Linked DNA regions of Arabidopsis thaliana. The protein of the gene in region 2 purifies or fractionates together with the protein of the main gene of each other region. This does not show direct contact. Each region holds a gene or a part of one and is shown on either strand. Other genes may lie near its edges.

Evidence for each region.
Region 1: the proteins of EMB2820 (region 2) and MTO3 purify together in Arabidopsis thaliana (affinity purification with mass spectrometry, with the first as the bait; one study listed by BioGRID). This does not show direct contact.

Annotation. Positions count from the first base shown.
Region 1 is NC_003074.8:5,951,652-5,955,802, forward strand, and holds MTO3 (S-adenosylmethionine synthetase family protein), read right to left. Parts: upstream 2,441-4,151; 5' UTR 2,250-2,440; exon of another isoform or gene 2,042-2,249; 5' UTR 2,015-2,041; coding exon 833-2,014; 3' UTR 536-832; downstream 1-535. Other genes in the region: AT3G17380 (TRAF-like family protein), read left to right, coding at 68-234, 319-473; AT3G17400 (F-box family protein), read left to right, coding at 3,236-3,793. UniProt on the Arabidopsis thaliana protein: Catalyzes the formation of S-adenosylmethionine from methionine and ATP. The reaction comprises two steps that are both catalyzed by the same enzyme: formation of S-adenosylmethionine (AdoMet) and triphosphate, and subsequent hydrolysis of the triphosphate.
Region 2 is NC_003076.8:8,446,183-8,452,115, reverse strand, and holds EMB2820 (Cytidine/deoxycytidylate deaminase family protein), read right to left. Parts: upstream 4,163-5,933; 5' UTR 3,771-4,162; exon of another isoform or gene 3,697-3,770; 5' UTR 3,561-3,696; intron 3,262-3,560; 5' UTR 3,237-3,261; coding exon 3,164-3,236; intron 3,063-3,163; coding exon 3,011-3,062; intron 2,927-3,010; coding exon 2,850-2,926; intron 2,781-2,849; coding exon 2,647-2,780; intron 2,509-2,646; coding exon 2,426-2,508; intron 2,215-2,425; coding exon 2,115-2,214; intron 1,931-2,114; coding exon 1,520-1,930; intron 1,432-1,519; coding exon 1,328-1,431; intron 1,251-1,327; coding exon 1,070-1,250; 3' UTR 1,035-1,069; exon of another isoform or gene 824-1,034; 3' UTR 547-823; downstream 1-546. UniProt on the Arabidopsis thaliana protein: Involved in RNA editing. Catalyzes the specific deamination of adenosine-34 in several cytosolic tRNA species. Generates inosine at the wobble position of the anticodon loop.

The DNA of each region.
Region 1 (4,151 bases), on a different chromosome or scaffold from region 2:
ACACAAATTTGCCAACAATCCCAAAGCAACCGTAGCTTTAAGCTAATAAATGGTACTACTAATGCAGGAAGATAGAGTTTTATCCTACGGGAACAAAGCAAGGAACAGGAACCCATCTTTCTATCTATCTGACCCTTGTTGATCCTGAAACCATTTCAGATGGTACAAAGATATTTGTAGAGTTTACAATTCGAATATTTGATCAGTTACAAGGCAGACACATTGCCGGGAAGGGTAAACACCGCAAACTCAATCACATACTTGTTATATGAATGTGAATGTGTTCACCTCTTGATCTGTAAGTTCTCTGGTTTACAGTTACTAAATGGTTTAGTCGATCAAGCTCGGAGCATGGATGGGTGAAATATGTATCCATGGTTTATTTCACGCAGCCAAACAGTGGTCTGTTGCTCAAAGATGTATGTCTTGTTGAAGCTGATGTATGCGTTCATGGAATCACCAGTGCAATCTAATCTCATCATGTTTTAACTCTTACAATAAAGTCTCACTTGCCTCTCTGTTTAAGGACTCGTCAAAGCCAAAATATTTGATATTGATAATGCAAACAAAGGAGACTAATGTCGAATATTATTCTCTTATATGATTTTCTTCTCAAAATAAGTAAGAAATACATATTATGAATTTAACTTTCTTAGCACAAGAATACCATATAAATAATTATATAAATTCCCAGCTGCTTAGCTTTTTTCTTCAAAGTTGAAAACAAAATGAATAAACCCATCTCAGAGTTGAAACTAAAGAGGCAGAAAGAGCCTAAAATACAGAGAACAAGACTGATTCTGGACAGAAGTGAAACAGAGGCTGACAGGTTTCAAGCTTGGACCTTGTTAGACTTGAGTGGCTTGACTACCTCCCAGGTGAAATCAGCATCGTCCCTTCCAAAGTGACCATAGGCAGCAGTCTTCAAGAACCTACCATTACCTCCTCTCTTCAGATCCAAGTTAATGGAGATCATACCTGGCCTGAAATCAAAACTCTCCTTCACAATCTCAAGAATCTCCTTGTCTGGTATCTTTCCTGTTCCATAACTGTCCACGAACACAGACAATGGCTCAGGGACACCAATGGCATACGAGACTTGCACAATGACCCGCCTCGCTAGCCCACTGGCTACAATGCTCTTAGCTGCTTGCCTAACGATGTAAGCCCCACTCCTGTCAACCTTGGTTGGGTCCTTTCCAGAGAAAGCACCACCTCCGTGTGCACCCCAACCACCATAAGTATCGATGATGATCTTACGGCCGGTAAGCCCTGCATCTCCATGAGGACCTCCGATAACAAAACGACCAGATGGGTTGAGATGGAAGATGGTTTTCTCATCAAGGTATTTCTCTGGGATCACTGGCTTGATCACATGCTCCTTAAGATCAGCTGCGATCTCATCGTTAGTCACAGTCTCGTCATGCTGTGTTGAGATGAGAACAGTGTGGACACGTACAGGAACCATGGCTCCGCTTTCGTTGATGTACTCAATAGTGACTTGAGTCTTACCATCTGGCCTCAACCAAGGGCAAGTTCCATTCTTGCGAACTTCAGTGAGTTTAGCTCCAAGCTTAGTAGCGAGAACGTGAGTAAGAGGCATGAGCTCAGGAGTCTCATCAGTAGCATACCCAAACATGTGACCTTGGTCACCAGCTCCAACCTCCTCTGGCTTCTTGGTGAGATGACCATGAACACCTTGTGCAATGTCAGGACTCTGTTGCTCAATGTTAACCAGAACCTTGCAATTGTCAGCATCTAGACCAACGTCAGCAGAGACGAATCCAATCTCACGGCATGTTTTACGAACAATCTGCTCGTAATCAACGTTAGCCTTGGTGGTGATTTCTCCAAAAACCATGACCATGTTAGTCTTGGTACAAGTCTCACAAGCAACTTTGCTCTCAGGGTCTTGTTCAAGGCAAGCATCGAGGATAGCGTCGGAGATCTGATCACAAAGCTTGTCGGGATGTCCCTCGTTGACGGATTCAGATGTGAACAAAAAAGATTCCATTTTTCCGATCTGATTCACGAAAGAAACCTAATACAGAGCAGAGAAATCAAACAAGATCAATGAGAAGTAGTATAAACACACATAACAAACTCGAATCAATTAAAAATTGGAATCTAGATTCAATAACCAGATCTATAAATCAACACTTCTCTCAAACAAAAATCGACACTTGGTTCAAATTCTACAGAAATGCAGGAATCTTGAGAAAGTATGAATCGAAGAAAAGTGAACATACCTTAAAAGGAGATTAGTAATGAAGGTTGAGCTAAAGAAATGTGGTGGTAGTAGTAGTACGAAGGTGAAGGAGGAGCGTATAAGCTTTATATATACGAGCTCGTCGAGGGGGTTGGTGTAAGATCGTAATTTCGTCCAGATTCATTCCCAGTTTCATCTAACTGTGTTCAGACAATGAGATCTAGATATCTGACGGTTCAGATTAGATCTAGAAATGTAAGAAGGTTTTAAACCGTTGGATTTGCTTCACTGGACCACCGCGTGCGAGTACAACTTGACAGCATCTAATGAAGAAGATTGCGAATCACGACGATTATAATAATAGTTATCGGTACTCAAATTAATGCTGCAAATTAGATATTTTTGAGCATGTAAAGTGAATTTAAAGAGTTAATGATAATTAATGTCGTAAATCATGAAGAAGTTGTGTGATTAGAGAAGGGTTTGTGTGATTGTGTCGGTGAACATAATTAGAGATTATACACACACAGGCTGTCTCTTTACTCTTTTATAGAAGGGTCCACTTGCCACCGGTAAAATGACAACATAGAATTCTTCTTTTGTTTGCTTTTTAGTAGTGTCGGCTAGCTTAGGTTGTCAAATATGACTGACTATTGTTGGGTGGTCTAAATCTGATCTTGTCTGATCCGAAAAAGGTAAAACTGCACAGTTACGCCAATATGCGAAGTTCATGTCCGGTCTGAAAAGGCTAGATTTAGTTATTGGGCTCAAAATGGGCCAAGGCCTTGCAAATAACGAAATACACCAAGCGATAAAATTTGAAGCCCATGACTATGAGGCAGTTGTTATTTGTTAAGTTAGAGAAGAAATTGGAACAAAATACACTAAAACCTTCTATAAATTAATAGGTCAAGGGACTGGCACCTCCTAGAGGATTCCGATCCGCTCTTATCCAAAGATCGGAGCTTTACAAAGAAGCACCGTGCTCAAGCCAAAGCAGCAACGAAGGAGAAATTACCTGCAAAAATGATGACATTGTCCGATCTTCCAAGTGATTTGGCAGAGGAGGTTCTGTCTAAGATTCCGGTGACATCTCTGAGAGGGGTCAGAGCTACTTGCAAAAAGTGGAACACTTTATCCAAAGATCGGAGCTTTACAAGGAAACACCTTGCTCAAGCCAAAGCAGCGGCAGCAAGGGAGTTTATGGTGGTCATGGTGATGGATTTTCAGGTTTATTTGATGGGCATCAATCTCCATAAGGACGTTGACGCAACTATAAACGGTCAAGGTAAACTTATTAGCTTAGACGATTCCAATCAAGTCGATATATCTTACGTCTATCACTGCGACAGTTTAGTCTTATGCATCCCAAAAGACTGCGCTAGGCTTGTTGTTTGGAATCCGTATTGGGGCCAAACCTTATGGTTCAAGCCCACTAGTCTTCGCCATTTTCCGCACTGGTATATGTATGCTATTGGATACCAGATGCGAAGAGGAAACCGAGACGCGAAAACTTCAAGGTGGTTGTTGACTTGTAGACCGACGACCAAAACTATCACAAAGAACACGATCGATCACCTTTGAAAGTCAAAAGATAGATACTCGCTTCACATCTATATTTTACAACTTTATTATATTCCACACAAATCATATACTATACATACATTAGTCTCCTTTTATTAAATACCAGCCGTCTATTTTGGTTTTTCTTATTACATGCTTAAAAATACCAAATGCACAAAGAAGGATACTTTTACCCACTACAAAATATGGACTTATCTGAAAATTTTTATCGAACACATTTTTCTTATTGAAATAGTTACCTATGTATTAGTACATATATTTTGTTACGGGAAATTCAAAAAATTTTATATACAACCAATCAAATGGCTAATTAATAAGTGGATTAAGACCTTTGACCTCAAAACACGACCAAGTAAAA
Region 2 (5,933 bases):
CTCCATTCTTTTCGTACGATGATAATTCTTAGTTTAGATTTTTATATCAATATATAAAGAAATTAATGATCTAATCTTGGAGTCTTAAATTTATATTTAACATTAATTGTGGCAAAAGAGAGATTTAACACTATTAATCTACTTTAGAATAATGAAAAGTAAATAAACAAATGTACAATATGATATAATCTTGGATTTTAAACTTTAGATCTAACATTAATTGTGGCAAAATAAAAATTAACACTAATAATTTAGTTTACAATTATGAATAAGAAATAATAAATGTCTATAGGCTATAAATAAGTGTATATATATACAATCTTACAATAATTTAAAATATTGAAATGCAAATCTTACAATATGAATATTGTAAAATGATTCTAACATTGATCTAATAACATATTGATAATTTAACTTTACTAGATTATTGTAATAAATTTTACAACAAATTTAAAATATCAAAATGCAAATTAGTGTATTAAGGCAAAAACAAATATACAAACAACCCTTTTTCTTAAATTTAGTACAATTTATAATTTTAAAACACTCATACACAGGTCTTAATCTAGACTTTTTATTGTTACATAATTTTTTTTTCACCTATCAAAATCTAATACATACAAATATACACGTGTTGCGCGATCAGATGAGCTTATAACTTTGAAAACCAAGTTTGAGATTATCACCATTTACCTCATAACAACCTCTTTCGTCTTTCAGCTAATGACGATTTTCGAATGGCGGCAATCGTCAATCCTCTGTTGTTAGATTAAGAGAGCGCAGTGCAAGAATGATTTCAGTTGGGCCATGCAATGACCTGATACTACAGTAAGTAGAGATGCATTATTTCATGTGAGGATTGGTTAGTGACGGTTCGTTTCTTGCATTCTGTTGTTTCTCTAAAACACAAGTTTCTGACTAGAGAGTACTGAGCCATACACAGTAATAGAAGTCGAAAGTTTTTGGTCTACATAATAATTCAATAAGATTCCAGATTCTTGGAATGAACAAGAACAAAGAATTAGCTTTCTCACCCAGAACCTGATTATCAATCGACTACAACAATGCATTAGACCGTGGTCATTTGTCTAAGTGCGTCATCAGGCAGCAAAACTCTAAACACTGCATAATGATGGTTCAAACTCTTTTCCCCTTGAAGTCTATGAACACTCCCGAGACCACCTGCCGTGGTGTTTGGAAAAGCATAGAAAATCCGTTTTATTCTTTGATGCACAAGCGCCATAGCACACCTTGGGAACATATCACGACTTTATTAGATACACACACTTGCAGAGTTTAAAAGGGTAATATGTATGTAGAAACTCACATTGTACAAGGCTCCAACAGGAGGAAAATGTCATAACCAGTGCAGAGGTACGGCCTTTCCATTGAAGGATCTCTAACAGTCTCTTCTCTGCTGTCATTTTGGACCTATCGATAACTCAGAAGTGTAAGAGAGAATGCTGTACTAGTCAAAGCATGTGGAGGAAATTAAAAAACTTGGTTGGAATGAACTTACGTCTGGACTCTGACTGCTTGTTTTCTGCTTTTTAGCCGGAGAATCTGTATTTGAGGGCGGAACATGATCCTGATCAAAAATCTTGGATGGATTGGGAAACAGATTTCTATCTCTGGCAGAAGAGGATTCAATGGCAACCATGGAAGCATGCCTAAGAGGATGCCACTGGCTACAATTTTCAGTGTCATGCGGCTGCAAACTCCATTGCCAGGGATTCAGACAAGAAAGAGCAGACAATGAACCATTCTGTTTTTCAAGTGTGTCATTTAAACATATTTCCCCTGTTTCCTCGAAGGGCCTGGTCTCTGCGCTAGTCATGTCACGAGGAGCAGATGATGCATATACTTGATCAGTTTCACTAGCTATTATTCGCCTAACTGAAGGATCAACTATCACTGCAGCATTCACAAGCTGAAAAGTACATTAGAAATGTGGTAAATTGAGATCATTTTCTATGTAATGAAACGATGGTAAATCTTTCTACCAAGAGAACAAGGATTGAGGCGCTAAAAAAAGCAAATGGTACATGAAAAATGAATGGTCTGTTGTCTAAAACTTGATATCGACGTTATGTAGATCAATGGAAAATACTTACTGGTGTATGACCAGATACTGCCATATCAATAACAACTCTCATGAACTTGCAGATTGATTGTGTTTCCTCCTCGCTGAACCCACCGATGCCATCTATATTGCTATCATTGCCAAATGCAAAAAGTAAAAAATCATTGACTGTTGCACTATAAACAAAGACATATATTGCTATTACAATGCAGATAAGAGCACCAATAGAAACCATCAAGAAATAAGATTATTCTAGAACGACTAAAGCATATATAATAAAAAGACCAGAAAGATAATAAAGACTCTTTTGGTCACAAAACTGATTCTAGACATGGAGCTTACTAGGTTGGTGGATGAAATGAAGTAGGCCATATCTTACTTTGTTCTTCCCACTCTTCTTTGGATACCGCAGCATATTTGCATACCTATCATAGTTATAGCAGAAATATGAGATTGCACTGAAAATATAAATGAATGAGCAGAAAGAAATCTCTGACTTGGAAGCTAAATGAATCAAAAACCCTTGAAGCAAATAGTGGTGAGATAAGAGAAAAATAACCTACTTGTGTAATAAAAGGACTCAACTCATAGGGATCAACGAGTCTCTGCACATCAGGTGGCATGTCACTCAACTGATCGTTGTGCTCAGGTGCTAGACATAAGATGACAGTCAACTGAGTTTCACCTGTCCAATAAGCTTACAATAAAAACCTCATAATCTTATGATTGGTGTATCAGCGCGCTAAGAAAACTAACAATGGGATACCGCAATCTGGCAGAATCTTCTTCTTCACCCTTTTAACATGACGAAGATCTTCTAGAGGAGCAATCTTACATAAATGCCTATCATAGCAAAGTAAAAAAATTCACTCATGAGATTACAGCACTGGAATCAACGAGTCAAGAGTCGAAACAAGAATGACAAACCTCACTATCGTATTGGCAAATCTGGGTTTGATTAGGCTAGCATATACCTTCACTGTGAACAACAAGAACAACACACACACACACACAGAAGAAGAAGTTTAGATAAAGAACCTTTGATAGACTAAAAAACCAAACTTAGAGATTGAATCATACCAGTGGGCTGATGGTCAGGTGACAATGAAGGCTTTTCAGGTATATGGATAATTTCCCATGCATCTGAATCCATAATTTTATTTTATCTATTCTTGAGCCTGATTAACACCATTAGCTCAAACTATAAGAATTAGGGAGAAAACAGAGACGAAAAACTCCACCTTTCGCAGTGAAGTTTGAATAAGAGAACTCGCAAAAATTCACACTTTCAATTTCTAGATTCAATAAGAAGAGTGGTGAGTAAAACCCAGTTAAGGCTTTTCTAAGCATTCTTATTGAACAGCATTATCGAATTCACTAGTTAAATCATATTTCAAACCAAGTGCTCACACACAGATGCAATTCCAGAAACCGTAAAAGAAGGTAATTAATCATTACAGAGATTAGATTAACTCACGCTGGAGAGCTTGCTCCAAGCAACAAGACACAGAGACGCAGCGAGCGATAGCCGATAGAGAGGAAGGAGGAGTTCACCAAAAAGGTCAAGAAGACGACAGCTTACACGTCGCCGTTTTAGGTCTTATCTAATTAACCTAATTAAATTAACAAAGTCTAATTAAAAAGAGCGGGACGACAACTAAACCCTACGCTTACATAAAAACGCGACCTTTAAGAATTTTGTACGGCAACAGAACCAGAGAACGTTGACGGCTAAAGGCGGCGAAATGGACGTTGATGAGCGGAGCAGCTACTGTATCGAGGGTATGGTCGTCTGTTGAGATTGAACTCTCCGATTGATCCTGCAAAGAAGAAGAAGAACATCAGTGAGAAGGAAACAACAATGATGAAGAACAAGAAGATTGGAAACTAGAAGAAGAAGACGACGTAAGAGAGAGACGTGAGAAGAAGAAGAAGAAGAAGAAGAAGAAGAAGACAAGAGAAGTGGGTTTTATGTTTTATCTTATTGGGCTGATGAAGTTGTGTAGGCCCAAAGTGGTGAAGTATGTTTTGTTGTGGCCCATTCGTAGAAGTAGCTTATTCTAGCTAAGTACTTGAGGTAGAGTAGTTGGGGTTGTTAGTGGCTAAGGTAAGGTTGTGTAAGGTTGCTTGTATCCCTAAGTCTAATGTCTAGAAGTAAGGTTAAATAGTGACTAAGTTTAAGGTCTAAGAGAGTGGGTATGGTGAGTAGAAGAAATCTCCTATATATATGTGTAATGTGTGTAAACTTATGAGTGTGTGAAAGTATGAAAGTTTAAGAGAAAAAAAACAAAACAAACTTGTGTCCTAAGCAGAAAAACAACATCGTCGGAGATGGGGAAGGGTGTTCGTCGGTTCTCTACTGAACCAGAGAACGATGTTCCAACTTCAGGAATCAGTTTGCCTTATGCCACAAGATCATAGCTACACAGAATTCAATTTTTCGAAACCCACGTTTAGTGAATCAAATTTAGAGAACACACGAACACACTTTAACCCAGATTTCTTCGAAAACCATTAAACCCCAATCCTATGAATCAGATTCCAAAGATAGAGAATATATCAATCTATGAGAATAGAAAAATGAGAAAGATGAAAGATTAAGAGAGAGATATCGAACCTTTTTTTATGGCTTCTCACAATCAAAGAAGAGAGTTTAAAAAATAAGAGATCGAAGAAAGAAGATTGAAGAAGAAGAAGAAAGAAAAAAAAAAAGAAAAAAAAAAGAGACGTCGTCGTTTAGTGTTAAAGAAGAAAAAAAAAAGTTTGTAGGCATGTTCGTTTCATCAGTAAGATGGATCATTTCGATGGAGATGAGTTTTGATGTTCGTTTGGTGCCAAAAACGGTTCATTCAGATGATCCATCCAAATGAATCATCTGGATGAGTTTGAAAATTTAGGCTAAATTTTGAAACTCATTTGACTGAACTAAATTGGATCATTTGGATGGAGATGATTCAATCTAAAATAACAAATGACAAAAATACCCTAATTATTTCAATTGATTATTTAGATGTATTTTTAGATAAAATAAATAAATAGATTTAAATCTTATTTTACAATTATTTTTTAAAAAATAAAAAATTAAATTTTCTGCTAAAACCGCAAAATCATTTTTTTTGCTAAAACCGTAAAATTCGTTTTTCAGCAAAACCCGTACAATTACGTTTTCCCGCCAAAACCGCAAAATCATTTTTTCCTCGCAAAAATCGTAAAATTCTATTTTCCCGCCAAAACCGCAAAATCACGGTTTCCCGGCAAACCCGTAAAACCGTGATTTCCTGCCAAAACCAAAAAATTACGTTTTTCCACCAAAACCGTAAAATCGTGTTTTTCCGCCAAAACCGCAAAAATCACGTTTTCCCGCCAAAACCGTAAAATCACGTTTTCCCGCCAAAACCGTAAAATCACGTTTTCCCGCCAAAAACGTAAAATTTTGTTTTCCGCCAAAACTGTAAAATCGAGTTTTCCCGTCAAATCATAAAATCACGTTTTCCCGCCAAAACCGTAAAATAAATTTATAAATATAAAAAACTATTATTTGAAATTTATTTACTTTTAAATATATTTTAGATTAAGAATTAGATGAAAGCATGGGTATTTTAGGTATTTGTATTATTGCAAATCATTTGGATGGAGATAGAGATAAGTAAACGAACAACATCTCATTCGGATGGTCCAGTCAAATGAACCGACTAAAAATAAAACGAACAAGAGTCGAATGAATCATCTAGATGGACATGTTGAATGGATCAATTGGATGGATCTGTCAAATGGAGAAACGAACAGAACCGTAGTATAATAGGGCCAGCCCTATAAAAGCCCGAAACCTTTTCTGCAAAACCATATTTAA